Linked DNA regions of Rhinolophus ferrumequinum. The protein of the gene in region 1 interacts with the protein of each later gene in a pairwise test. Links are inferred from orthologs where the notes say so. Each region holds a gene or a part of one and is shown in the gene's direction. Other genes may lie near its edges.

What was found.
Region 2: the proteins of MS4A12 (region 1) and MALL interact in binary tests that used the Homo sapiens proteins (3 or more experiments, as listed by UniProt). The two-hybrid records come from large-scale screens. The link is inferred for Rhinolophus ferrumequinum from reciprocal best matches to the Homo sapiens genes MS4A12 and MALL.
Region 3: the proteins of MS4A12 (region 1) and PLLP interact in binary tests that used the Homo sapiens proteins (3 or more experiments, as listed by UniProt). The two-hybrid records come from large-scale screens. The link is inferred for Rhinolophus ferrumequinum from reciprocal best matches to the Homo sapiens genes MS4A12 and PLLP.

What each region holds. Positions count from the first base shown.
Region 1 is NC_046294.1:10,120,453-10,127,703, reverse strand, and holds the start of MS4A12 (membrane-spanning 4-domains subfamily A member 12), read left to right. Parts: upstream 1-4,198; 5' UTR 4,199-4,309; intron 4,310-6,887; 5' UTR 6,888-6,893; coding exon 6,894-7,160; intron 7,161-7,251. UniProt on the Homo sapiens protein: May be involved in signal transduction as a component of a multimeric receptor complex.
Region 2 is NW_022680356.1:1,497,547-1,504,522, forward strand, and holds the start of MALL (MAL-like protein), read left to right. Parts: upstream 1-3,937; 5' UTR 3,938-4,057; coding exon 4,058-4,165; intron 4,166-6,976.
Region 3 is NC_046298.1:9,959,422-9,967,158, reverse strand, and holds the start of PLLP (plasmolipin), read left to right. Parts: upstream 1-4,698; 5' UTR 4,699-5,057; exon of another isoform or gene 5,058-5,088; 5' UTR 5,089-5,150; coding exon 5,151-5,285; intron 5,286-7,224; exon of another isoform or gene 7,225-7,323; intron 7,324-7,737. UniProt on the Homo sapiens protein: Main component of the myelin sheath that plays an important role in myelin membrane biogenesis and myelination. Plays an essential function in apical endocytosis. Regulates epithelial development through the regulation of apical endocytosis.

The sequences.
Region 1 (7,251 bases):
CCTGCCTCCATTTCCCCCTGCTTGAGAAAAGCTGCTGCTGACTCTTGCTGTTCCCCCTCACCTAATTGTGAGAGAGGACCATTAGAGCGGTAAGACCAAGCTCTTTCCTGCTCAGCTCATGGCATTGTTTCACCACGAGAGACTCTCTCCCCCAGGGAGGTGCATACCACACCTTGGTCATCTTGGGACGTTATGCTTTGGCTGTTTTGTGATAAATTATTGGGTTTTGAAATTATTTTTCTCAGGTGGTGTAAGAGTTTCACAGACCCTGCCTTAAATCATGCGATGTTCTTTGTTTGTAATCAATAAATATCGCCAGTCGACCCGATTCGGAACTCCAGTTTCTTGAGGCTGTGAGTCCTCTGTGATTTAACTGTATTGAGTCTTTGTCTCTTTATTATAGTTTAACCCTGCGCTGCCTCCCTCGCCTTCCCACGGCTTGTGTAGTGCAGGTCGCTACAATAATCCAGTGATTTCTGAAAATATAGCAGGAGGCCTACCTTCAACTAGGTATGATTGTTAAAAATGTAGAATTCTGGACCCCATTCAGTGTGAATATCTGTGGGTAAGGCCTAGCATTATAATATCTGTAGTTCAAATACATATTCAATGTAGACAGTGTAATATTGGTCACTTTTTAGTTGCATTAAGCTAGAAACCAATGCAGCTACCACCTAAATTAGGAATGGTGAGAGTTAGCTGGCATTCTAATTATAAAACCTATTCTCCAGAGGCAATTAGTGGTACAGATCTGCATCAGACCCTTTGCTAATTAGAATAAATGTCAGAACTTTTTTTAAATGAGTGGCTTTTTACATAGCATCAGCATGTATTAGAATAGGTTCCCATTGGTGAAATTAAAGGTATTAATCTTTTGGAAACATCCCCCACCCTGCCATGAACAGAATTTAAATATCTAACAATGTCTCTAGCCTTTACCCTTACTCCCTAAATTAGTGCCAGATCTTTTATCCATCCATGAACTTGAAGGGCTCTGATGACAGGATCTTATCTTAGGAAACTTGGCTTGCCCGATGAGTTGAAGCTTTCGTGCAGAATAGTAGGAAAAAGAGCACTACAGGACACCGAAGCGAGGGATGTGAGAAGCACTGTCTATCGTGTTCACTTATCAGAGCCTAGGGTGGTGGCTGGCACAGAGCTGGCCCTCAGTAAATACTGAGTGAATCTTAAAATGTGTTCTGTTCTTTTGTACTTTTCTAGTGCTAACTTGAGTCACAAAACCAATTAATCCTTAACTAACAGAATTCAAGGTCTTCAGTAGACAAATACTTTCTTGAGGTTCAAGATACTTGACCCTGATACATACTGTACAAGTACTGCTATAAGATTCCCAACCATTTGTCACTTCCCAGGGTTGCAGTGTCAGGGGACAAGCAGAAAGACACATTTTCTTGCCTCTCCAAGATTCCAAGGTAACTTCTGATATTTCAGAGAAAGAGTGAAAATGTAACTGTCCAAAACATTCACACACACACACACACACACACACACACACACAAATTAAAGGCAAAGATTAACCAGGAAGGACGCCTGCTGGTGAAATCTGTTACCATCATGTCACACATGCTTCTCTGCACCACACTTGCCACCAGAGGCCGCTACTCAAGCTCAGACACCACACAGTTTCCAAGCCTTGTAAAAAGCCATCCAGCAGAAGCCCCATGTATTCACTCCCGAGTGCGCTCTGCCTCTGTCTGACTCCACTGCCTAGCTGGCTCATCTTGACCTACAGACTCAGTCAGAGCCAGAGTAGACTCAGTTACTCCATGTATAAGATGGCAATTAAATCGATTGCAGGATTGTTTTAAGACTTAAATAAAGGAGATTACTATAAAGCTAAATAATGTCCAACAAATGGCACATGATATTATTTCTAAACAAATTCTAACCTGATAGCGAAAATACTACCATCCTTTGATCACCAGTGATTGAGGTTTAGAATTTGTTTTATTTCCATAGACTTTCTAAGAGACTTAGGAGGCACTCTGGCTCTCCTCCTCCTGTCTTTATTCTGACTCAATTTACATGACGGGGTCTTGGTTTCTGTACTGAGCCCTTCCTCCTGGGTCACCTATCTCTCACCACGTCCCCTCCAGAAACTTGTATCTGGCTCTCTGTAACTCTAGCATCAGAATGCAGCCTGTTTTATAAACAAGGAGCCGTAATGCTGGACATAAAGCTAGTTGATAAGATCACTAAAGGTAGGGAACACATTTTTTTAGAACACTTATAGATCCTGGTAATTCTTGTTTCAGAACTCAGAACTCTGAGTTATGACCTCCTTGTTTATTTAAGAGAGAAGTTTGCTATTTCCTTATAAAATTGAAGTTAAGCATTTAATTTCAAAAATTAAATTCAAAAATTAAATTAACTAGTAACATTAGTCACATTTATTTAATGGTTAGTTCAATTTTACAAGCATGTTCCTAAATTACTGATACAAAAGAGGTTATGAAATGACGAAGGGGGTGGCAGGAGGTAGAAGAGGATAAAGGGGGTCAAATATATGGTGACGGAAGAAAACTTGACTCTGGGTGGTGAACACACAATGCAATATACAGATGATGTATTATAAAACTGTACACTGAAACTTACATAATCTTATTAACCAATGTCACCGCAATAAATTTAATAAAATTTTAAAAAAGAAGTGATGCTGTATCTCTTGCCTTCTTGGAAGTTAGGGGGTGGCTGAAGAAATAAAGCTCAAAATAATACATAGAAGAATCACATCACCAATGGCACACACCACACAGTTATGAGACTAGGAAGGAGAGAAAACAGTGCAGGTGTCTTATTAAGTAAGATTTACTGCATGGAGGGGATCTGGAAGGCCCCCAGAAGAAGGGAGGGCATTCTACCCTGTTTCCCCAAAAATAAGACCTAGCCAGACCATCAGCTCTAATGCGTCTTTTGGAGCAAAAATTAATACAAGACCCGGTCTTATTTTATTATATTATAATATATATATTATAATATAATAATATAAGACCGGGTCTTATATAATATAAGACCGGGTCTTATATAATATAATAAAATAAGACCGGGTCTTATATAATATAATAAAATAAGACCGGGTCTTGTATTAATTTTTGCTCCAAAAGACGCATTAGAGCTGATGGTCCGGCTAGGCCTTATTTTCAGGGAAACGCGGTAAGCGTTCAAAACACCATTCGTTTTCACCTTTCTCTTTGTGCTGTCTGGATAGCATGTGATACCTTGCCAGTTGGTCACCATGATTTCTTGTTCCTTTAATTACCTTCAGCCTTTGAGTGATGTTATGGCCTGAAATTGTAACTTTCTTAAGTTCATAGCATTAATTAATTTTCAGTATCTTTTTTTTTCCATTTTAGATGAGTACATGAAAATAGAAAACCACTAGAGAAAGTCTACAATAATACATAAGAAAAAAAGGAAAAACACAGACATGGAAGAAGAATCTGTATTCACTCCACTAACTCATTCAACATACAAATAATGAGTCTTACAACATTGCAGACACTGTGTACTCTCTACACAGGGCTGGGGATGCGGGCAGATGTTGGCCTCTGCCTTAAGGATCTCTGCCCTCAAAGCACTCATTTTGTATCTATGAGACAGGACTGCAAATAAATAATTAGAATGTAATAGGAGACAACCAAAAAATGGAATATTATGCCATTATTAAGATATACAATAAATATGTCTATTGACATGAAAAGATGTTTATAAGTTATAAAAGCAGGTTGCAAAATATATAACAATATGATCCTAATTTGATGATTTTACAAAATCATATATGTCTCTATGTAAAATACATATTTATATACAAAAGTTTAAAAATGTAAATGAAAATATTATCATTGACTGTGTGTGTGGTGGGATTATGGATGCTTTTTTCCCTTTCACTTCTTTCTTTTTTTTATTGCCTACATTTTCCAATTTTGTTTATCTAATTTAAAAGGTATTAAAATGCAAAGTGATACTGCACTAACAAGTATCAGAAAGAGTAAAGGGGCTGGAGAATATGAGCACTTCAGTGTTTAGGGATGTCAGAAGGGCTTCTAGTACAAAGGAAAAGAAGGTGGGAAAACACAGTATATTCCAAAATTTACAGATGGGCCTGCGTAACCACTTGGGGTATTAGAGAGTCAATGGCAAATGGACTTTGGAATTAAATAAACAAAGGGCACAGTTTCATTTGAAGCAAGGAAGTAAAAAGGACTTACAATGTCCAGGTAACTACCTCAGAGCAGCACAGAACTTGAAGAAGAGGAAGAGAGAAAGCAGAGAGGAGCCAAAGGAAAGAGTAAGTCCCTTGAAACATCTTTACCTAACTTTTCATCCAAATTAATGGGCATAAACAGTGGGTTGGTCTGTCTCCATGGGTTCTTTGCAGCACTCCATTCTCTAAGCTGCAGAGATGAAGCCAACTCTTGGCTCTATGTTAGACAAGTAGACAAGTAGGGAAAATAAAACCATGAGAGGATGAAACATGAAAGAGAACGTCAGTTATTATAAAACAGGTAAAAGATAGTTCAAGAAAAAATATCAAAAGCTAATGCTAAGAAAGGTGACATAGGAGGTTCAAATGCCATTCCATGAATATTAATCAAGGAGGAAGCAATGTCCCATTGTGAGCATTTGATGATAATGTGGCTACGACATAGCCCAGTAGAAATACTGTTAGTCCTTGGTTTTGAAATACATTTTAATTAAGGTGCTTTTTATGGCAAAAACAGAAAAATAAGTGGGAAAGATCACTCATTTTCACTAGATCAGTATTTTGATTTGTGGATGTACTGAGAAATACTGTGGAAATGATTTAAGATTATGTTTCACTACTATACGTCTTCTCAAAGACAGTAGTCATCTTTGCCTTCTAATGTTAAAAGTGAAATTAATGTAAAAGTGAGGCAGAAAGAAACTAGAAAAAAAAGTAATATTTTTCCAATTTTTATTTGAAATTACCTACTCAAAGCAAATTGGGAGATTTCCTCTTATTCTATAGTCCTGCAGTCCTGTACTTTTGATTTCATCAGACCCTATATTTTCTGATGTCTTTCTTGTGCTTAAAAATAACTGTAGTTGCTCTAATATTTAGAACAAAAGACAACTGACAATAAACATTTTACCAACAATCAAGAGAAAAATTGCTCTAAGCCAATAGGTAGACTCTATGAAGAGTCTATTCATCAGTTTCCCTTTTCTTCTATCATTTACAGGATTATTCTCATTTCAACTGGATAATCACTTAGTTGTTCCCCCAAGCATCTTTTCCTTCCTTTGTACCAAACTACAGCAGTCCCCCTTTATCCACAGGGAAATTCCTTGGTGGATGCCTGAAACCGTAGTACCGAAACTTACATGGACTGTTTTTTCTCATTTACGTACATACCTATGATCAAGTTTAATTTATAAATCACAATAAGAGATTAACAACAATAAGTAATAATAAAATAGAATTGTAACAATAGGCTGTAATAAAAGTTATGTGAATGCAATCTGATAACCAAAATGGCTGATTGCTAAGTGACTAAGAGGAAGGTAGCATATAGAGTGTGGATATGCTGGACAAAAGGACGAGTCACGTCCTGGGAAGGATGCAGGGGGACGGTGTGCGATTTCATCACACTATTCAGAACGGCATGAGATTTAAAACTTAAGAATTGTTTATTTCTGGAATTTTCCATTTAATATTTTCAGACCATGGCTGACCACAGAAAACTGAAACCATGGAAAGTGAAACCAGGGATAATGGGGGACAACTAGATGTAACCAGTAAAGCTGCTTACACATTAAGGGTAAAAGAACTGAGACTAGCTTAGCAATTTAGTCCTTTTTTATGAAATCAGAACCTGACCCAGTAAAAATGCATCTGGGATTAGCATAATCATTATAAAACTATTAATAATATGGGTTCTATATGGAACTCATAGGTCTTAGTCCAGATATTAAATAGCAAATATGAAAATTAAAAATGTTGATAAGTAAATAAAAAGCCTTGAGGTTTCTTTTTTAATCAAATTTCTCAATGAGACAAAAAAAATTACAATGATCAATAGCAAAGAAAGGAGGTGATGAGATTATATACATGCAGAAATAATTTGTTTTAATGCTCTTAAAAAAACATAAGAAAATTATTGTACCCTGAGCACCTGTCTCCTCTCTCCTTGATCTTGGCACTGATTTTTTGAAGTGCAATTTCTATTATAAACTTTATATGGCCACATCCACTGCTTAAACCAGAATGGAAGATTTTGGGCTCTAGTAATACAATGATAGCTACCGTGTTTCCCAGAAAATAAGACCTAGTCAGACAATCAGCTCTAATGAGTCTTTTGGAGCAAAAATTAACATAAGACCCGGTATTATATTTATTATATTATATTATATTATATTATATTATATTATATTATATTATATTACCGGGTTTTATATTATAGTAAAATAAGACCGGGAGCGCAAGGCTCATAATACCAGCATGGGCCAGGGAGCTGTGTCCTACACAAATAGACTGTGAAACAATGGCTTGAACCGGAGTTGGGGGGAGGTAGAAGAGGAGGAGGTGGAAGAAGGGGAAAAAAAGAAAAAAAGAAAGTTGCTCCAGGCCCCAGAGTTAGTGAAGTAGCAGACTGGGAAATCTTCTGCACTAAATGGCCACAGAAACCAGATGCACAGGATATAAAACCTCCTGATTTCAAATGTTATTTGAGAGCTATAGGGAATCACTCCAAGAATTACAGCTATGCAATCCTTCATTTTTCCTTGTTTAAAATAACCTTCTGTGGATTAAAATTTGTTTCCACTTTTAAAAAGTATCCTTTGTAATCAGATGTTTCTTTTCTGGATAAATGTATCATTTTGTTATATTATATAATACTTAGGACATAATGATGTCAGCCAAGCCAACAACCCACCCTAGACCCTACGAAGCCACACATAATCCTTACCTAGCAAGCAACTCTCTGGCCTCTGGGCCTCAACCACTTCCGAGTTTCATCAGCCTAGGAAACCAAGCTCAGAGTGGCCAGCCTCACGTCATCACTTCTCCAGGAATCTTCGCTAACAGTCCACAGGGGCAAGGAAATGTACAAATCATAACTCCAGCTATAGGAACAACAACCACAAACTTTAAAGAAGAAATGAAAATACTAGGGGTAAGTCTACTTGCTACTAGAATTTTAATTTTGCATTTGCAAGGTTGTACAGTTATAGTTGGGGAGAAGTTTGTGATCTCATGACATATAT
Region 2 (6,976 bases), on another chromosome or scaffold:
ACCGACTGCCTCAGTCGGGGGGTAGCGCAAGGCTCATAATACCTGCACGGGCCAGGGAGCTGTGTCCTACACAACTAGGCTGAGAAACAACAGCTTAAACTGGAGTGGGTGGGGGGAGGCGGAAGAAGGAGAAAAAAAAAAAAAACAGCAACCTCATCCGATATCTCCCCTGTTCAGGAGAATGAGACCAAAAGGGGGAATTTACTCAACCCCTGATCACAGCACAGAAATCACCTCACATGCAGGAACAGGTAAAAACTAATAGACGAAAGCTCACATCAACCAATGACGGCAAATTTTCCTCAACATCTACCCTACACATGTAAATCCGTATTTTTTAATGCACAGCATGGTGATTATAGTTGATAATACTGTGTTGCACATTTGAAAGTTGTTACGGGAGTAGATCTCAAAAGTTCTCATCACAAGAAAAAAGTTCTCATCACAAGAAAAAATATTCTGTAACTATGTGCTGTGATGGATGTTAACTAGATTTGTGATCATTTCGCATTATAGATATATATGGAATTATTAGGTTGTGCACCTGGAACTAATATAATGTTGTATGTCAATAAAAATAAAAGACATTCTCAGATGAAGAAAAAGTAGAACTCATTGTTAATGACATGCTCTAGGAGAGGTGCCTACGGAAGCTTTCAAACAGAAGGGAATGATACCAGAGAGAAGCTTGGGATGTTAGGAGTGAAGGGACAGCTACAGAAATGGTAAATATCTGGGTAAACATGATAGATTATTTTTTTCTCTTCAGTTCTTGAAAATATATATGGTGTTTGAAAGCAAAAATCATAACATTGCTTGGTGGGGTTTTCAATTTATGTATATGTAACACATAAGACAACCTGGAAAGCAGAAGGGTAGAGGGACCCATATGGTCATAAGGTTTCTACACTCTTTTTGAAGTGACAAAATATTAATTCTGAGTAGAATGGAAAGTTAACTATGTATATCATAACTCCTAGAGCAACTTCTAAACAAACAATACTAAGAGGCATAGTCAAAAACTCAATAGGTAAATTAAAAATGGAATACTAAAAATATTTGAAAAATCCCAAAGAATGCAGGAAAGAGGAAACAAAGAAATGAAACACAGAGCAAACAAAAAATAAACCTAAATCCAAACATCAATAATTACATTAAATGTAAATGGTCTAAACACACCAATTTAAAGACAGCAAATTTGAGGAGGATGGGGGGGAGGACCCAAATATATCATAACCACAAATGAAACCATTATAAATATAGTTACATAGGTAAGTTAAAAGTAAAAGGATGGAAAAATACACACCATGCAAACACCTGGTGTGTGATAATATACATGCAAACATCAATTACAAGCAGTGGGTCTGCATTGTTGCTGGGACTGTAAATGGTTTTACCATTTTGTAAAATAGCTTGATATTATCTGCTAGAAACACATACCACATCACCCATAGTTCCACTCCTAAGATATTCCCAATAGAAATGCACACATAGATGTACCAAAAGACTTGTTCTAGAAAGTTCATAGCTGTTATTAATTAATTCATATGTCAAATTAAAAGAACTCAAGGGTCAATAAACAATCGAATGTGTAAATAATGCAGTGTGTCTGTGCACTGGGGTACTGTGCAGCAGTGACTACAGCAACACAATGACGTGGGGGGTGTCACAGGCAGCATTTTGAGTAAAAGGAGCCAGACACAAAGGAGCCCACTCAGAAACAGGCAAAACCAGCCTTTGGGGTTAGACATCAGGAAAGCAGGTGTTTGAGGAGGAGTCTGCAAAGTTCTACTTCTTGCTCTGGGTGGTGGTTTCATGGTCTGTATGTTTTGTGCACTTTTCTGTAAGTGTATTATAGATCAATAAAAATTTTGAAATAATTTTTTAAAATCAGAATTAAGAGAGGAGGTGCTGGTCTTGCTGTGGAAAGAAAGAGAGCCAAAAGAGAAGTGATTTCAGGTGGAATGGAAAACAAGTACTTGTGAAGTACCTGCTACATGCCAGAAGCATTCTCTAGATTTTCACATATAACATCTCACTTAACCTGCCCCAACGAACAAACGAGAAAATGGACATGATGATCATGGTGCTCAGTATTCACTAATTCTCAGGCCATGATGTGGAAATCAGGGGCCCTTTGTAGAGGCCCTGGCCTTTTCTCCTGGGCCTGGCATCCCCTCTACACCACCCACCTCACACCGGACTCTGACCTTGTGTCCGAGAGCAGTCACACCCCAGCCCTGGCCTGGAAGGTGGACATGGTCTTGCCACGCTAACCTCCTCCATTCTGGCATCTTGCGCTCATTGTCTTGTGAATCCTGTAGTGTTCTTTTAAATAGCCTGAGGAGAGTGCACTATACTTTGTCGCATATGATAAAACTTGGTTAAACGTAATCACTTGGTTAAATGTAAACATTTAAAATATGCTGGATTTTTTTATAACTGGATTTTTCATAACCGTGTTGACACTAAGTGCGTCAGGAGGAGGAAGGGGCTCCTTTCCCGTTTTCACCTCTGCTTTGTAAACCAGGGATGAGACTGACAAAGCTTTCCGTCTTGCTTTCCCCTCAGCTCTTCCCGCTGTGCCACCTGGTCGGCGGTGGTCAAGTCAGATGGATCCTGCAGCCCGTAAGGGTGGACAGGGCTTATTATGACATTCAGGAAGGAGGCAAGGGCCAGACTCCCGGGGCAATGCCTGCGTTAGGCCCATCCTGCCAAGGAGATGGGTGGGGGCAGGCGAGCCCCGGCCTCACGTCTTCCCGGGACCGCCAGCAGACTGGCTTGAGGTGCGCTTGGTGCGCTTGCCACTCCTTGCAGTGCCTTTGCTCTTGGCTTTGTTTGTCCAAACCCCCCTCCCCTGGCTGTCCCCAGGCTAGGCAAAGGCCCAGGTGGCTGCTCACCCACCTGTTCGGGAGGGCAGGCCTGGAACCAGCACTCTTGCTAAGGAGCAGACACTGGCCATTTGTGGAGGACAGCGAATTCCCCGAGTACTCCCCACACCCCTCCAGATGGAGCGCTGAGGAGGAGGCCAGGAGGGTAGGGAGAAGGGACCCATCCCCCAACCCCCAAGCAGACTGTGGGTGCCAGGCCTTTCTACAGATGGTCGATTCATTCTAAGGTAGAGAGAAAAAGGGCTCAAATCTCCAGGACCTGTTTGTAGAGTGAAAGGAGTTGCCTGGCTGCTGGGTCACAGCCCCTGTGCTGGGCCAGCAGGCGGGCCTGGAGGCAGGAAAGAGCTTCCTGGCCCCAAGCCCAGCTCCTGGCTGCACTGGCTGGGGGGCCAGCGCCGGGAGGGAGGAGGGCTGGGGCTTGGGGCAGCACCCAGCCAGCAGGCCCTTCTCCGGTGCCTGCTACGGCAAATTTCTCCCACAGAGGGCGTCCTCCTCATCTGCTGTGTGGGGTAAAGAAGAGAGTACCACAGGAGGGTGCAGAGAAAGAAGGAGTCACCAAGTCCCCAAGTCCCTGGGGACAGGAGCTGGAAATGAGGGCTGTTCCTCCCTTTCTGGTTTGAGGCTGGGGGTGGCCCCCAGGGGTGGACAAGGAAGGAGCCGCGGAGAGCCATAGGAGACCCAGCAGGTCCATGGTCCCTGCCTTGAACTCACAGATTCTTGGTCTCTGCCCTTGGGAAAGGTGCGAACTAGCCGCGTGCAGGGCGGTGAGGAACACCAGAGCGGTCTGCAGATTGCCCGGCGCATAGTAGGTGCTAAATAAACGTGTCTGTCGTGGCCAGCGGCCTTAGCCGACACTCTGGGCACAAGGTTGGGGGGTAGTGGCTGCTGCTGGCCTAGAATAACACGCTCTAGGATTCAAAAATTCCTAGGAAGGAAGAGCCTGCCTACCCAGCGCTCCCGCCCGGCCCCGCCAGGGAGGCCGGACCGGCCTGGGGCGCAGCCCTCCTTTTGCTGAGGATTTCTGGCTAGAGCGAGTGGAAGGACCTGCTCGGCTGGAACGTTTTTGTCCCTCCCAGGCGACGTCCGATGGGTGTGTCGGGCAGGAGGTGATATTTGACGGGCAGCGGGAGGGAGCTGCGGAGCCGGGCACCAGGCAGGGTGCGAGCATGGCCTCCCGGGACCCACCGCCCCCCACCACCCACGCGCCGCCCGACGTGCCCACGGGGCTCACGCTGTTTCTCACCATCCCCTACGCCTTCTTCCTGCCGGAGCTGGTGAGTGCGCCCCTGCGGACAGCGGGGGGCAGACGGGGACTGCCGCGCTCCCGTCCCCCGGGAGAGGGAGGAAGGGGGACCTGCGGGGCTGCTGCGTCCCCATCGCCCCATGGGGCCGCCCGGGAAGCAGCCCAGTCCCTACTACGCTCCCCCGGGCTCCTGCAGCGCTGGTGGGTTTCCTCCTTTCCCCACCGTGGGCCGTGATAGGGGGCGGGGGACAGCTGCTAGAATATTCTGAATCCTCAAGATAATGTTGGACACGGACTTTAATTATATCGCTTCTTGTCTCCGACCTCTTGTTTGTGCTTTTCTAAAGTTCCGAATTGGGGGGGGGGGGGGTTCTGTCTTTCCTGACGAGAGGAAGTCTTGCAGTTCTTCTTAATTGTCTCGTCAGCTGACTTTGAACTTTGACTTATGCGGGTGCCCCAAGGAGGGAGCTTATGACAACCTCCCATAAAACAGCCCAGCGAGCTGCCCTTGCTGCACAGGAGAACCTGTCCCAGCGTTGGTTACTCTCTGGGGCACCCACCTCTGAATTCTGGTGCCGTTCCTGCCAGGTGCTGGCGTGTTCCCATTACAGACAGTGCTCACCGAGCTCAGCTCTCTCTGAGCTACTGTCACCATCCGCTTTGATGGGGACACTCAAGTCTGGTGAACAAATCAGGGCAAAGGAGTTTGTTTTTCCAACACCTGAAATATCTAGCTTGTGGGCGACATTTCCTAGTACCTCTGAAAGTGGCAGTGCTGCCTCAGGCAGGGACAGACAGATAGGAAGTGTTTCCAACTTTCAGCTGGACCTGGCCAGCCCTCTCACTGTCCTCATCTGCCTGGAAGGCTGGGTTCAATTGAGGGACCTTTTGGCAAACTGGTTAAAGGGCGCCCATTAACGACAACCAGAAAGGGAGCCAGGCAGGGCGGACTGAGCACTTTGGTGGCTCCAGCTGAAACCCCACCCAAGAGGCAGGTTTCTGCCAGGGCTGCCCTCCAGGGAACACAAGTGTGGGCATCCTGCCAGGCTGATGACATCTTGTTGCTCTTGCAAGGTCTCTGTGCGGGACCTGGGTGTGTCCCTCACCTCAGAACCACCACGTGAATTGCCAGGACTGTGTTGAGTCAATCATATGCTTTATGTCCATCATGGAAGCCACGGGTGACACTACCTCCCCAGGTCCCTGACTGTTGGAGGGACTGGCAAGCACTTCCCCTCCACAGTCAGCCTGTCCTCAAGCAGGTGATCATGGGAGGCTGTGGTACCAGCAAGGAGAGGCCACCTGACCTGTCAAGTAGGAGAGGGGTCCAGGCCTGTCACAGAGGCCACTGTGGATTTGGACCTCAAAGGACAGGCTGGACTTCCAGGCTGGGGGGCAGGAGAGGGAAAGGCTCGGAGTCCAGGAGAGACCAGCCAGAGGCAAGGTCTGGGGGCTGCGGCTTCAGGGATCAGGAAACACCCGGGCTCGAGGGGCCATTTCGTGTACCCTCCCCAACAGTGCTGGCTCCTGCAAATGGAGTTCCCAGAGGAGTAAAGTGCATGGGCGCTTTACAGATATGTACAGACAGCAGTCTACAGTTTTGCTTCCTGTGGTTTCAGTTACCCGTGGTCAACCATGGTCTGAAAATATTAAATGGAAAATTCCAGAAATAAACAATAAGTTTTACACTGTGCACCGTTCTGAACAGCATAATGAACTCTCTCTCTGGCCCGCTCTGGCCCGCCCTGGACATGAATCATCCCTTTGTCCAGCGTGTCCCTTATACACCACCCTCCCATTAGTCACTTAGCAGCCATCTTGGTTATCAGATTGACTGTCATGGTATCACAGTGTGTGTTCAAGAGACACTTATCGTCCTCAATAATGGCCAAAGCGCAAGGGTAGTGATGCTGGCTCTTCAGATATGCCAAGGAGAACCAGAAAGTGCTTCCTTGAGGTGAAAAAGATGGAAGTTCTCGATTTAATGAGGAAAGAAAAATTGTATGCTGAGGTTGCTGAGATCTACGGTTAGAACAAATCTTCCATCCGTGAAACTGTGAAGAAAGAAAAAGAATTTCATGCTAGTGTGCTGAGAGAGAGACCACATTCCCATAACTTTTATCATAGTAGATGGTTATAATTGCTCTATTTTGTTATTAGTTATTGTTGTTAATTTCTTACTATGCCTAACTTATAAATTAAACTTCATCATAGGTACATATGTATAGGAAAAAACACAGTATATGTGGGGTTTGGTACTGGCTGCGGTTTCAGCCATCCACTGGGGTCTTGGACCGTGCCCCTCCGCAGGTAAGGGGAGACCGCCATACACATGGATGTATTTAGTTGGGTTATTCTGTATGCGCTGCTCTGCACTGGCTTTTTTCTTCAGTAAGCGTTCCTAGCAAGGCATATAGAGTCGTGTGTTCCTCTCATCGGGGAAGGAGGAGGGGAGAACATCACATCATCATCGAGGCGAGTGGCGACTCTAACCCCACAGGAGCAGAGGACATGCCGGGCTGGAGAGGACAGTGTAGAGTCGGCCAGTAGAAGCCCTATATGCCCTGTCACCTGGGTATGCTGCCACTGCTGCCCACGCGGGCTGACTGCAGAGCTCCAGCCCTGGCAGTCCCTGCAGATTCCTAGGTTTGGGGCCCCAGGTATCACAGACGAGCAGATGTCATCCTAAGGACGTGAGTCCAGAAAGTGGATTCTAAAACCGGGAGCAGAGGCCAGCAAAGTGGGGCAGAGACAATGAAGTCCGTAAGCTGGATTCAGATGTCATCCGTGGCAGGGTGGCCCAGAGTGGACATTGGCGGTGCCTGCAGCCACCCGTCCCTCA
Region 3 (7,737 bases), on another chromosome or scaffold:
CATCTACAAAGTCCCTTTTGCCATAAAAGGTAGCATTGACAGTTTCCGGGGATTAGGATGGAAGCTCTTGGCAGGGGAGGAATTATTCAGCCTGCCACATTTATGTGGCATTCTAGAAAAGGCGGAACCACAGTGACAGAAAACAGACCAGTGATTGCCCGGGGCCAGGGTGGAGGTCACAAAGGAACTTTTTTGGGTGGTCAAAATGTTCAATGTTTTCATTTTGGTGGTGGTGACATGACTGTACACATTTATCAAAATGCCACAAAGTAGGAGAAATAAAATAGGAGAAAACAATAGCAATATATAAAAGTGACAAGAGATGAATACCCGAAATATAAAAGAAGCTCATAAACTTAAAAAAAGCAGACAGGGCTACAACCTAATCCACAAGACTACTGTCACTTCTGACACAACGGCAGAGTTCAGGGCATTCCCCAAACCATCTTCAGGTTCAAAAATTCAGTAACTAGAAGGACTCACCAAATGCCCTGCAAACTGAATGCTCGTAGTTACAGTTTATTACAGCTAAAGGGTATAGATTGAAATCAGCCAAGGGAAGTGCACATACGGGTGATGGAAAGGTTCTGGAATTAGACAGTGGTGATGGCGCACTCCAGTGAGTATACTAAAAACAAGTGACTTGTATAATGTTTTAAAGTGTGAGTTTTAAGTTCCAAAGGTGGAGCTTCTGTTGTCCTCTCCCCAGGGAACCACGAACTCCATGCATTACTTTACCAGCACTGATGTGTGACAATACACATGGAGTATTTCCACCCAGGTAAGCTCATTGCCTTGGTGTCTAGGGCGTTATTGGGGCTCCATCACATAATCGTGGTTGACTGTCCATGTAGCTTATCTCAGTTTCCAGCTCTTCCAGGTGGAGCTGAATGAGCTGACACCATATGTCCCCACCCTAAACCACAAAGTTAGTCTATCTGGTGTGGCCAGATCCCACCCTAAATCACACTGGTGTGACTAGCCCCACCCGAAACAAAGACATTTCTCTCAGGCATGACATTCCATGGGTTCAGACATTGCCTTCCAGAAGCTGAGAGCAAAAGCCAGACCTCTCTTTGGGAAAATTAAAATTCTTTACTACAGAATAATGCAAATTTTAAATTCACAAAAAAAGGAAGTATGAATGGCCAATAAGCTTAAGGAGCCCTACTAGCTAAGTATTAGAAAATGCAAATGGAAACAATGAGATTTTAAAAAAAAAATGCTCATCACACATACTCAGGGGTAGGGAATCCCAAGAAAAGTTGGTCGGCAAATTGGGAAAATCGGCTCCTTGAGCTCAGGTGGTTGTAGTATCAGCCATCACTTTGTGGAAATGATTCATCATGGAGAACAGAAAACAGTTTATATCTCGGGATTCGGGAATGGGAGAGCGAAAAAAATTCCTGAGAACGGGCGGAGGGAATTCCAGCCTGGAAACCCTACTCAGGGGAGTGGGCAAATAGTTAAGCTCACTGCTCGTCGTGGGAGTGTTAGCTAGCAGGGTCTGTTGGAGCAATTCGGCTTTTTTTTTTTTTTTAAAGCGCAAATACCCTTCCATCTAGTGGTTTTACCTTGAAAACTGGATCCATAGTCTTACATGTATGTGCAAAGATGTGTAAATAAGAATTCTTATATACTAGTACCTGTAACGAGGAGCTATTGGAAACCACTTAAGTGTCCACCAGTGGCAGGAAGGATAAAGAATTACGTAGTAGATACTCTATCAAATATTACCCAACTTGTAAAAAGAATGAGGGCAGCCTTCATGTGCTGTCACAGAGAAATTTCCAAGACATAATGTTAAGTGAAAAGATCAAGTTTCAATATACAGAGTATAATCCCATTTTTTGGTAAAATTTTTAAAAAATGACGTACAAATCAAGTCTCTGTGTTTCTATGTATCATATGGTAGTGAAAAACAAAAGATCTGCTAAGATACTCCAAACGCTTCTCAGGGACTCACTAGAGGTGAGGGTGAAGGTTTGGAGATGTGCAATGAAATAAATTAATGAATTAATTGTGCAATTAAAAATAAAGAAACTGAAACCAGCCATCCCCACAGCACCCATCACAGGGCCCGTGGGAAAAGTCCTCAATCAGCCTTGAGGATTGCTGATTACAATCCTCAACCTCCTGAAGTGGGCTTCTGGAAACTATTGGATGAACCCCAGTGGAACTTCTTTGTGAATTTTTAAAAACTGTAAGTCAAATGGTGTAACTGCCCTCCAATGGTCTGTTCTTTATAATAAAATCCCTTTCATTGCCGAGGGATTAATCCCCAGGTGATCTGGTCCCTGGCTGTGTCTGGAACCCCATCTCTTCCTAGTTCCCTCAACGCATAATCTTCTGTCTTTCCTCAAAGACCCCCAAATTTTTCCTGCCTCAGGCTTTTGCACTTATGGTGATTTTCTCTGCCTGGAATGCTCTTTTCCTGCCTGATTCTTATTCATCCTTTAGATCTCTACTTAAACCTTTAGACTTCCCTGACCCAGCTATCTAAATGACACTCCCAACCCTCAATTAGTATTCTTTTCCCCTGGCACCCTGGTCTTTTCCTGTAGCAACTGAACACAATTGGTAATTATGCATCTCCTGGAATGCGGCTTCGTGTATTTAGCCTGTCTGTCTCCCCCGTCAGACTCCCTGAGGGCGGGGTCTGGTTGGATGGCCCACAGCCCTGTCCCCAGTGCCTGGTACCCACGAAACATCTGCTTAGTGTTTGCATCCCCATTGCCTCTCGAGTATGCCCCGCCCACCCCAACGGAGGGCAGGCCCAGCACACAGTATGGGCTTGGCCAGAGTAGGGAGCCTTTGCAGAAGTGAGAACTGAGGCAAGACATGTGTTGCGGGTGATCTTCGTGGCGCTGGCCTGCTCAGACCCCAAGGAGGAGGGGAGCAGCCCTGAGAATGAGCGGGCGTTCGTTTCCGTATCCTGGTTCTGTCCCTCCATCCCACCCCAAGGACCTAGGGCTCTCATGGCGCCAGTAGAGACTGGGTGGGCAGCTGGTCCCTGCCTGGGGACAGGTCCCTTCCCACTTTTTCTAACTGGGGGTGAGTGAAGTTGGTTTCCAAGAAAATGTCTAAAAAACAATACAGTGATTGAGTCTTGCTTGCTGCCATTTGAAAGGAATGAAAGTGGGATGAACCAAAAAACAAAATCCAAACCAAAACCAAAACAAAACTACTCTACTGTTTTAGAATCTGTCGCAGAAACAATCACCTTATTGTTTTCTGTGTCATAATAAAATTAAGGGTTTACCCAAGAGCTCTGTTCTGCACTTGGGCAGAGAGTAGGCAGAGAGGCTGGTCTCTGAGTAATGATTTTGCAGCTACCAAGAAGCACTCCTTGTTCCCTGAGTACCTTCTGGGGGATGGATTCAGGTGTGTTTGGGGTAAGGGGTTGAACATCGAGTTGAGTGGAGAAAGGGTTAAATCAGCATCAACCAGTGATATTTCCAAAGCAGATCTTGCCACTCTCCTGCTTGAAACTCTCTAGGCCTTAGAATAAAATATTACCCCCCGACCCCCAATTATTCAGTAGGCTGAATGACCACCAAAAAACATCAGCCCCTATCCCAGGAACCTGTAAATTTTACTTTATAAACAAGAAGGGCCTTGCAGATTAAATTAATGTTTGTGATATGGAGAGATTATCCTGGATTACCTGGGTGTCCTTAATCCAATCACAAGTGTCTTTGCAAGAGAGAGGCAGAGAGAGATTTGATACATGCAGAAGAGGAGGCAATGTGACCACAGAGGCAGAGAGTGCAGTGATTGATGTGAATGAAGTCAGGGAATGTCAGCAGCCACCATCAGAAGCTGGAAGAGCCAGGAACAGATTCTCTCCTAGAACCTCCAGAGAGAGGTCTGCTCACACCTTGATTTTGGCTCAGTGAAACTGATTTCAGGCTTCCCGCCTCTAGAACTGTAACAGAATAAGTTTTTGTTCTTTTAAGCCATCGAGTTCACAGTAATTTGTTCCAGCAGTCACAGGAAACTAATACAATCAACTAAATAGCCCTTTGTGACCTGTCCTCACCAACGCAGCACATCTCACCCTCACGCACTTTGTCCAAGCCACCAGGATCTTCTTTCTGTGCTTCAAACTGTCCAGCTTCATCCAGCCTCATGACTTTGTTTTATTATAGTCACAGCATTTGTCACTATCTGAAGTTAGTTTTTTTTTTTCTCCCCGGTTTACTACTTGTCACCACACGAGAAAGTAGAATCCAAGAAGGCCTTGTTTGGCTTGTTCCCTGCTGTATCTCCAGGGCCCGGATAGGACCAGACACTCAGCAAACATTGGTTAATAAATAAAAGGAATAATCTGTGCAAGGCTTTATAGCCTGAGGGTGTGTGTGTGTATTTCAGGGTGCAGGTGGAGCAAGGAAACTAACTCCAACATCATCTCCCACCTTCTGACTGACCCCCCCCCTCATTTATTTTGCATAACCTCTGTGAGGCGAGGTCGTTTCATACCCTTTATGACAGACAAGGAAACGGAGGCTCAGCGATCTTCTGTTACTGCGTAGTATGTTCAGAAGTACAAGCCACATCAATTGGGTCATGTGCACCCACAGTTTATCCAGGCCCTCCCCTCCTGGATGCTCGGTTTCCCGGGACTCCTTAGGAGTAGCTAAACAGGGATGCTCATTCTGCTTTAAGGAGAGCGCAAAGAGACGCAGCAGGGGCTCGCCGCCGTAGGGCACCCAGCGCCCTAGAGACACCTGGAGAAAGCAGGTAGAAGCTATCAGGAGGGCGCCGAGCAGCGCTGTCCATTCCTAGTAGAAGGCTTTCCTCAGGACAGAAACGCGCAGCTATCTAGACTCGTTCTGACGGAGCCATCTCACTGACCGTGGCCTCAGTTTCCCCGTCTGTAAAGTGGACGCGACTACAAGTGTCTTGAGGCTGGACCCGCGGCGGTGAGCGAAGGGTTAAAGGGGCGGGTCCCGCGACGAGGGCGGGGCCGGAATTTCTGCTGCACCTGGCGCCTCCAGGCTCCTTCCCATGACACCGCGCTAAACGCCCGGAGCCGAGCGGCGGCGGGAGCCGGAGCCCCCCAGGAGGAGCGGCGTAAGAGCCGGTGCCCGACGCGGGAGGGGCGGCGACGGCGGCCGGTGCGACCCCGGGAGGCGAGCGGAGCTGCGATGGCCGAGTTCCCGTCTAAAGTGAGCACGCGGACCAGCAGCCCAGCGCAGGGCGCCGGCGCCTCGGTCTCGGCGCTGCGTCCGGACCTGGGCTTCGTGGGCTCCAGCCTCGGTGCGCTCATGCTGCTGCAGCTGGTGAGCGCGCGCGGGGCGGGGTAGGGGATCCCGGCGGGCTTGGGGGGTCGGGGGGCTCCAAGGAAGCCCTCTGTCGCACGCCGTACCCGCCCCAACCCAGGCTCGCACGCGACGCGCCGTGCCTACCCCGGGGTGCCTCTAGGACTAATGCCCTAGGTGATCAACCTGGAACCTCACCTTGAGTCCCCGTTGCTGTCTGCGAGCACACGCACCATACACCCTTGTTCAGAGTGCCCGTTCCAACGCACCCTCACTTCCAGGTGGTCACTAAAGGCCACCCACAAAAGCTCTCCAAGAGCCACAATCACTGCGAATGACTCTCAGTCTTTGCATGGCCAATGCCCAGCCCTTCAGCGGACCCAGCCTGAGGCAAATTCCACTCGGGCTAACCCTCTGCGGAGCTCCCAGCGGCTCCGTGTGGCTGCACCCCAGAACAGTCCTGGTCTAATCGAGAGGGCACATCCGTTCCAACACGTACACTTAGGCACCGCTCTGTGGGCTCCGGCGCAGGAGCTGGGCCCTTCTGGCTTCCACTGGGTGACCCGCCGGGTTCCAGCCGGTTTGGCTGGCCTCGCGGGCTGAGATACCGTGTCCAACACTGGGGTGGGGGGTGGGAGGAGTGACTTGTGGGAAGCCAGAGGTAAGACTCCTATGTCTTCCAGACCCTCTGTAGGCCCCAGGTGAGGTAGATCGATGGGAACACCCCTCTTAGACCCGTCCACACGCTTGTTACAGGCCGGGGGGTGTCAGCTTTTTTCCCCTAGTGCCCTCTGGTGCGAGTCAGGAAGCTGGGTGGCCGCCCCTATGAGAGGCTTTCCCCCAGCCGAAGGCCAGGATCCATTGCCCTTTTGGGCCTTTCCAAACGTCCCCCTATTGCTGTGTCCTAGCAAGGCTGCCAAGCTCAGGCTGGAAGGCTGGGTCGTCTTGAGACCGAACCTCCCTCCTCGGCCCTCTCCCCACCCCAGGCGAGGGCCTGCCTCCGGCGTCAGTGATATGTATCATTTACGAATGTCTCAATCCCTCTCTGTGAGCCCCCTCCCCCCCCCCCCCCAGCCTCACATTCTCTTGAGGGGTTTCTTTAAAATGTAGAATGTCTCCACCCCGGGAAAAAATGTGGAATTGGAATTTGAATGTCAGGAAGTGCAGCCCAGAAATCTACATTTTTAATTCACCGAGAGTTGTTTTGGAGATGGGGGTGGGGGGGTGCGGGGCCCCGATGGTGAGGTCAAGAACTAATTTAAATATGCAGGTAGGAAGACCCTGTCTGGAGCTGTGTGCTGGGCTCCTGGTGCTTGTGAAGCCAGCAGGAAGGGAACCTGGGCCCAGGGGCATGAAAGGGCAGAGGAGAGGGAGATCAATTCTGAGCCCTGAAGGTTCATGGAGGAGAGGTGGCCTGTGAGCAAGGACTTTATTGAAATCTGAGGCCAACGTAGGGAAGGGTGTTGAAAGGGCAGGGCGCTGTGGGAGCCAAGGTTTGGGGGTGGAAAAGTGGAAGAGAAGTTTTAGGGACTAGCCAGCAAGTTGGTGAAACTGGACTTGAAGCACTTGTTTCTGGGGTGGCCAGAAGCCGAGGGCCTTGTGTCCCTCTGCAAGAGATGGTGACAGTATTCCATTGGCAGCCTTAGGAGGTTTTGGACCAGCAGAGGGGTCTCTACTGGGCTGAGATGATGAGGGGTGGGTGGATCCCTAGGGTTAGCCAGCTCCTGGTAACAGAACCTGAGCATCCGGCTTCTTTTGCATTTCAACAATGAGAATTGGAATTAGAGGAATTGGAAGAAGGAGCATCTTGCTGTGCCTGCAAGGACCTTGGTAGCTTCCTGTGGAGGAGGCTTGTGTCTCTGATTTGAGGGTGCCTGTTTTCTCAGCAACCCACCCCTGAGCATTTGGGTCCCATTGCACAGATGTGGACACTGAGGTCTAGATAGAAGGTAGGACTCACCAGGATCCTGTGGTGGAGCTTGGCACTTAGGTCTCCAGACTCTCGGACTGGGTGTGGGTGGGGTGGCCTTCCTCTGCTTTCCCTGCAGTGCTTTTGGGGGAGGGGGGCGAGAGGGAGGATGAGGGTCCCCCATCAGACTTCTGAAGAGCTGCACCTTCACCCCCCCCCTTTCTTATGCCTCCTTCCCCACTCCGGTTCAAGCCGATGTTTCTCAATACCTGGCCCATGCTGGTATTATGAGCCTTGAGCTCCCCCGGCTGAGGCAGTCGGACACCAGTTGTCTGTAGGCCGCTCACGACAGCTCTCGCTGGCTGCTGGCCATTCACGCTGGCCACCGGCCGCTTATGTTGGCACATGGTAGCCCACGGCCAGCTGCACCTTTTAGTGCCTTCACCAATCTGCTTCTGGGAGAAACTGCTTCCTGAGCTGTTTCTCTAGCAACAGACAGTTCCACTGGGTCTGAGATGGGGTGTTCACACAATGGGCACCAGCATCTGTTAGGAAGCAACAGTA